Coturnix japonica: one gene and its partner. The protein of the gene in region 2 purifies or fractionates together with the protein of the main gene of each other region. This does not show direct contact. Links are inferred from orthologs where the notes say so. Each region holds a gene or a part of one and is shown on either strand. Other genes may lie near its edges.

Evidence for each region. Proteins that work in one complex are often made in the same cells at the same time.
Region 1: the proteins of PDE6D (region 2) and RAB28 purify together in Homo sapiens (affinity purification with mass spectrometry; 3 studies listed by BioGRID and IntAct, with this or other methods). This does not show direct contact. The link is inferred for Coturnix japonica from reciprocal best matches to the Homo sapiens genes PDE6D and RAB28.

The regions. Positions count from the first base shown.
Region 1 is NC_029519.1:70,292,178-70,295,833, reverse strand, and holds part of RAB28 (ras-related protein Rab-28), read right to left. Parts: intron 1,369-3,656; coding exon 1,265-1,368; intron 1-1,264.
Region 2 is NC_029524.1:13,402,360-13,406,115, forward strand, and holds the start of PDE6D (retinal rod rhodopsin-sensitive cGMP 3',5'-cyclic phosphodiesterase subunit delta), read right to left. Parts: upstream 2,278-3,756; 5' UTR 2,161-2,277; coding exon 2,111-2,160; intron 549-2,110; exon of another isoform or gene 1-548. Other genes in the region: COPS7B (COP9 signalosome complex subunit 7b), read left to right, coding at 2,816-3,196. UniProt on the Homo sapiens protein: Promotes the release of prenylated target proteins from cellular membranes. Modulates the activity of prenylated or palmitoylated Ras family members by regulating their subcellular location.

The DNA of each region.
Region 1 (3,656 bases), on a different chromosome or scaffold from region 2:
AATAAACACCCTGTCTTCCCTGCACAACTACCCAAATACATAAACTGCAGCAAGAGTGGAAAGAGTTAATTCAAACCTATACCGAAACTAAAAATGAACTACTGTAAACCATTCTTCATACCTTCTTTTGTCAGTAGATATTTAGACAGAAAGTTCTGGTGAATGCTTTTAGGTACATTCAGATTTACTTTTGTTTTTAAACAGTAAGTTAAAAAAAGTACGATTAGCATATACAGTGGGATGCTGCTGTAATCATGAATTACATCATCAATTAAAAAGACATAATAAAGATTCCTTCTTAATTTGTAATGTTAACTACATCTATCTTATAAAAACCACTACTTTACCACAAAATGGTTGTCTCCTTGAGAAAGGAACACATTTCATCACATGCAAACTTCACTGCATGAAGTATTATAGAATTTGTCTTCTCTTTCTAACATAAGAAAAACATTTTCAGACTTTAAACAAAAATTCCTGCCAAAGATTCAACACAAACTCTAAGGAGAATCAGGATTCACTGCATTTGTATCAGCGGTATAACACAATAATTACACAGATTATAAAATCTGGCAGTCCACTCTAGAAGTAATTGAGCTTTCATCAAATATCTTAAAACAACAAGTGATGCCATTTATGTTACAGAAATATGCTTCCATATAACTGGACACGGTCTTACTCTCCAGAAATACTCAAATAAAGTACATTATGTTGCCTGTATGAGAAAGAGACAGACTTATTTTTTACAGGAATCACAAAGTCATTAGGCATGCAATAGAAATCAAGAAAAACAATACAATGTGATCTCATCTGACTGATACAGTCAACTAAAAGAGAATCTTATCTTCCATACACTTCCAACTAAAACAAGTATCCAAGTTAGGTCTGAGATAAATGATCATTCTAAAATGTGCTCGGCAAAGCACTACAAATACCAGAAAGTTCAAGTTTGAATGGACCTGCAGAGAGAACGTCTTCTGGCTCAGAACCCATATTAAAAATTTTGATTGTAACAGGATCTTGTGAAATTATCAACTGTTAAAAAGTTTCTGTGTTGATACTCTATAGATGAGACTTCACCTGGAACAAAGGCTGACAGCAGAGACCCAAAAGGCCTCATTTCTCACGATGATATACTAGCCAAGAGTACTTCCATATTATGATCTATACCTCAATCCACAAATCAAATGAGAAGATGCTGTAGTTAATAAAGAATGTATACATCCACAGAAAGATCAATACAGAGTTTACTTTTCTTACTTACAGAATCTCCTGTCTTGGCTGACACAAAATGACTACTGAAATTGTTTTCCTGACAGAATCGCTGATGCTTGTCAACTTTCACTGTGCGCATATGCTCCAAGTCAACTAGAAACAAGCGGGGAAAAAAAGATTACTGCATTAGAGTTGCTTTATGTAGTTATCTGTCTTAGAAAACTCGTTCATTAGGAATAAATCACATGTCATCTTATTCTTTGCAGAGGCGTGCAAGTGCCAGAAAAATACAGTAATCACAACAGTCATTGTACAAAAGAAGAAATCCATATCTGATCTAAAGAAAAAAAAACCTATGGACTCGCACAAGCAATTGGTAACAACTTTCCCAGTAACTACATGCAAGAAAAAAGAATCTGAAACAATTAAATTGCGTGTTTTGTTTGTTTTTTTACAGGTATAATGTCAGTATAATTAGTTATAATTATATATGTATTATATATATATATATATATTATATATAATGTTAGTCCAGCATAAACTAGAGACACATAGTTCACAAAGCACACCTGAAATGAGTCATAAATAACTTTATTGAAGAACACAGTAGAGCAAAAACATTCACTATAATAATAATAATTTTAAAAATAAAGAATAAAAATATTGATGGTTCATTACTTTATATGTGAAGTCTTCAATTCCACATTCCAGCACATTTTCATTTTTAGCATTTTATAATCATGGGAAGCAAAGTAAAGCTTTCGAACGCTATTTGATGTTAAAAAGCACTCGCCTACAACACAACATGGAGCTCAAGTCTTGCACAGGTTTTATTGTGCACATTCCAGTTTTTCCAAATCTGATCCTAAGGTAACTGGAAACTATATTGAAAAGTTTCTCTTTTTATTGCATTACAGTTCCTATAAGGGTGTTGACTCTCTGCCGTCAAATTATAAGGCAAATATATTCAGAAGGATTTAAGGACAACCAGGCTCTTTGAGTCAATACAGGAAAAAAAAACTTAAACTGATTTCCTGAGGAAGGGACCCAACTGACTTGTAAAAACTTGTAAATTTGCAAATCTAGTAAGCCTGCATAATAGTGTCATTTGATTATCAGCTGAAAAAAAATGCTCTCATACTTCATAAAAGGCTTTATTTTAAAATGATATTGGAGGTCTTTAATTTGTAGGCTCTGGAGATTTTCTCTTGGAGATTTTTAGTCTAGCAGGGGATTCCTACACCCCATTTATACTGCTTACTTTGGTTAATGTGGAGTTTTTGCCACATATTACTGTTCCTTGCACATCAGTAAGGCCTTGTTTATAAGAACAGGCCTAAAATCATCCAGTTACCACAGGCATTAATTTGTGAAGGACTAAAATACTAAGCTATTAACACTAACGTTTGTAGTACAGTACTTCATAACATTAAATGTAGAATATACAGCTTTACCAATAACAGGCAGAACAAAAACATTAATTAAGATGAATCCCAAAGTCAGTAAAAAGCCTCATACAGTCTATGTAACAGTTGTTTAACTTTTTTCCATTAAAAATAACTACCAGGAGAGAGCCTCTGCAAACTCACAAGTAACAATTTCTCTCAATCTCTCTTTCCCAAGAGGAAAAAAACAGAGGTCACAGGAACACAAGAGCATACAAAAGGTAAATGAATTTCAAAGAAGAAAATGTTCTGCCTTGTAAGAATTCATACCACAAAGCGCTTCTTATTTTCTATTTGAGTAAATATTAAGAATAAAATATGGTCAGCAGAGCATATGTTTTACTACAGTAGAGCAATTAAAAGCATGCGAGATCCCAGATCTTCAAACAGACTGGAAGTAAAAATTGGGATATAACCGTGTTTCTGAAATTTGTGCCATTCTCAGTTCTTCTTCCCATTTGGGAGTATTTCATCCCATGGCTTCTAAATTCTGGGCAGTTTGCTGTGAACTGTGCAGTTACTGTTACAGAAGATAACTGCCAGGTGCCTGTCCATATGCGCACACTCAGCTCAGGGTAAACACAAGGCAATTCATGTTACAAGCACTCAATGAAAGAGGGCACAGTTTCAGTACTAGAAAAAGATTTCAAGTGTTAATAAACATTTAATCACGAAAAGCTGCAGGGCACAATCATAGACAGTTACTGAAGATCTGTTAAAATGCAGTAAATAATTACCCCCTACTTTTTTTTTAATTGTTATTATTTTATTTCTTTGAACATCCAACGCTGGTCAGCAGAATAAGCAGAATTCATAGCTAACAGGACATAACTCTTGTCCAGCTTTTATTTAGAAATGTCAGAGAAAAGACTTTAGGAAGGATCTGGAGGAGAAAGCTTATTTTCTAAATAGGTGTTTATAAGAAATGCAGGAACTTCATAAGGAGGAAAAAAAATAAAACAAACAAAAAAAAAACCTCATAGCTGGCCAACATGG
Region 2 (3,756 bases):
GAAACCTCTTTTGTCTGCAAGTATCAAATATTTCTCCTTTCGGTTTTCATCTTCTTAAGTAACAAAGTCTATGGGAAGAGGGAGTAAAATACCCTGGTCTGAATTTGACGCTAGCCACAACATGCTTCTGTGCTAGTGTCATAAAGGAAGGGAAGCATATCTTGGTGCTAAGTCAGAGGGTGGATTTAGGCTGTAATTTAATGTGCACAGCAGCATGTCCCAATCAGCTTGAAAGCCTGTAGTTAGTCTCTTCTCAGAAACCACAAATGAACAGACTTTAGTTGAGGGTGCTCCAGTACTCAATGCAAACTCCATTTCCAAAGTGTGTGTTCTTGCATTCAAGTGAGAAAACTGATTCCTCAGTGATGCCCTCTACCAAATAAACCTACCTTGGATATACTTATTTCTTTTTATGCCATACCTAAAGTACTGCTGTGATGGCTTCTGGTGCTAACAGCAAGTTTGCAGGGTGTGCTCCTTCCTTCTTGGGAGGAGGAAGAAGTTCAAGTACTCCAAATATAAACCTGAGAGCTTCCCGGAGGATGTTTCTCTCTTCCTTTCTTATTGAGGGCACCAAGTTAACACATACTTCAGCACAGGGAGCAGAAGATAAAGCATCTCTTTCAAATGTACTGTTTTAGAATACACACTGTCAAAAAAAGGAAGCCTGAGCTGGTGGCTGCCTTACAGAGAATGAGGCCACATCTGGGCACGAACTGCTTCCTGTGTGGATGCTGTGGTGTCTCAGGGCTTTCTCTCATAAATGAGGAATGCCTGCTCTGTCACTTTCCTTCTAATACTTGCATATTATTCAACTATCTCAACTCAAGAAATCCCATCTATGCAATACATCGATAAATACTTTCCTGATTTTCCAATCTGAGCTATTGAGGTTTACCTTTAACACCAGGTCAAGAAACATTTTCTATTTAAGTTACCAAACAATGGAAGTGATTTTTCATCCATAGCTGGACACAGACCTTCATTCAGATTCTGCTTCTGGCAAAGCACGTGCACAAACCAGTAGAAACAAACACGTGAAAGTCTGTACCTTAAGTTTAACTCTCCAACCCTTCTCATCTCTACCAAAAGCTCAGTCTCATCTTGTCAGGAGCTTATGCTTTTCCTAATTACTCGCACAAAACACGCTTAAATTGTGTTTTGACAGCCAAAATCTTACAGCTCCACAAACAAAAAGAACTGTCAATATTACCAGTGCAGAAGCAAAGGAACCAGCTGCAGAACTAAAAGCTGGGGGGGAGGGGACAGTGATTCATAAGTTCAGCAAAGCATCTGCCAATAGTTTGATAGCAGCTGAATCCAACTGAGTAACTCAGATTCTGCTGCAGCTGGCACAGAGATTAGCAGCACCTCGCTGGCCAAAAATATGCTCAGGAATAACAGCATTGGAGCAAGAGGGGTATTCACTTTGGTTCTGTCCTTTCATTCGCTTTGGTTCTGTCCTTTCATTCGCTTTGGTTCTGTCCTTTCATTCGCTTTGGTTCTGTCCTTTCATTCACTTTGGTTCTGTCCTTTCCATTATGGGGGGAAAAAAAATACAGCCACTGGTTTTCTTGCCCCTTAAGGCCAAGCTGGCACCTGCCCACTATGCGCAGTAGAATCTGCTACGGTAAAATCAGCTGTACACATCTCCCACCCTTACACACACACAGACCTATGCGCTGAGCCGTCATTCCCCCCCCCCATCCCCAAGGTTGCAAGGCCGCACTCAGGACCCTCCGCTCCCACTTCTGCTTCACTGCACCGGCGTTAAACTGGTGCTCGCCCAGCACGCCAAGCGACAAGGCGCAAACTTTCATCGCGTACCGCAGACAGACGCGTTAACAACCGGACTCGGGCAGCGCTGACGCCTCAGGGCCCGGCACGACGCAGCAGTGCCCGCTCGGAGCCCCGCGCTGCCCCCGGCCCAGCGCCCAGAGGGACGGACCCGCAACGCGAGGCCGAGAGGGGGACGCGACACAACAGCCCCGTGTGTGGCAGAGCTGCCATGACAACCGCCCTCACACAGGGAAACCCCGGTACCCAGCCACCCCCCCCCTTTTCCCCCAGCCCCGCCCGCCCCCCCCTCGCTCCCCCTCGGTGAGGATACAGCTTGAAGCCCCTCAGGATCTCCTTGGCCCGCTCGTCCGTGGCCGACATGGTCCTGCCGCGCCGCGCCGCGGGCTGGGCGGGCTGAGCGGGCTGTCCTGGCTGCGCGGGGCCTGGCCGGGAGCGGCGCTGACAGCGGCGCCTCACGACCCCCCGCCCCGCCCCCTCGCACTCCCTCGCACCCGCCACCGGCCGAGGCAGCCAATCCCAGCGGCCGCTCTCCCCGCCCCGACGGGACAACCAATCGCGAGCCGCCGACGCCCCTGCTGGTTGATGAAGGACAGCGGGATGGACCAATCGGACGGCGCGTCCTCCCCCTCCGTTGATATAAGGGCGGCTGCGCAGCTTGTTAAGGCGCTGGGCCCGGCCGGGGCTGAGTGACGTCGGCGGGGACGGGAGGCGGCGCGGGACAAACCTCGCCCGGCCCCATTGGGGACGCGTGTCCGGTGCCGGCCGTTCGTTAATACGTTAACACGGCTTATAACAGTCTGCGTGCGGGACGACAACTGGGGGCTCCGCGTACACTGCCACAGAGCTCCTCAACAGCACTGCCACGCTGAGGAGAGAGAACCGCGAGGCGTCGAACATACGAGGGCACAGCCTATGAGTGCCATTAACGGCACAGCCTATGAGTGCCATTAACGGCACAGCCTATGAGTGCCATTAAGGCTGGCGGTGGGCAGCGCTGACCGCCCCGTTAGCTGACATGGAGCAGCCTTGTTGTGTTCTGGATAGCCCGGCGTTACCCAGTGCGTCCAGAGAAGGGCAGAGAACGCTCCCGAAGAAAAGCTGGCAGGGAGACAGGGAGAGCGCAGGCAGCAGCAGAGCTGGAGAAGGCCAGAGCGAGCGGTTGTGTGTGAGGGAGAAGCCTGCGGGGCAGAAGTACAGCATGCTGCTCTACCCACAGCACAGGGGGCTCCGAACCGCCCCGCTTAGGGCTACAGGGAGGTGGCAGCCAGACAGAAGCGGCTCTCGCAGCGAGCAACGGCAGCGAAGGGCTCCTGACACGAGAGTGTGCCCTGATGTCGGTGTTGGGGCCTTTGTGGTTCTGACATGGGTGCCCAAACTCTCCACGCTGTGTGAGGAGGTACGTGCTTGGCAGCCTCTGCGTCTCAGCTTCAAAAACCACCCATTTCCCCTCCTAAAACTAGGGAAGAAGCGTGTGGTGGGACAGTGTAACTCAGGAGGTTCAGGTTGGATATCATGAATAGGTTCTTCAATTAGAGGTTGGTTGGGTGCTGGAGTTCAAAAAGCACCCGCGCAGTGCTGTCAAACACATGATCTGAGTGGTTCTATGTGGAACCAGGAGTTGGGTTCAGTGGTTTTTATGGGTCTCTTCTAGTTTAGGATATTCTGTGATTCAGAGTGACAGAAACCTTGAGTTCTTTCCTCTCAAAATACTTTCTCTTGCAAGAAAATTGCAGCAAGTCTCACTATTCCCTTGAACCATTTTGTTCTAAAAACCTCACCTTTGCTTTTACACCTCTGGCAGGCATCACAGTCTCTGAGCTGTCACTGCAGGTGAGGAGACACCTCCAGCCTCCTTTCTGCCTCCCCAAAGCACATTGCAATGCTCTTCTCCAAAGGTACTGCTACAAGAGCTTGTGTCCCAGGGAGACGGGCTCATAAGCTGAGGTCTTCTCCCAT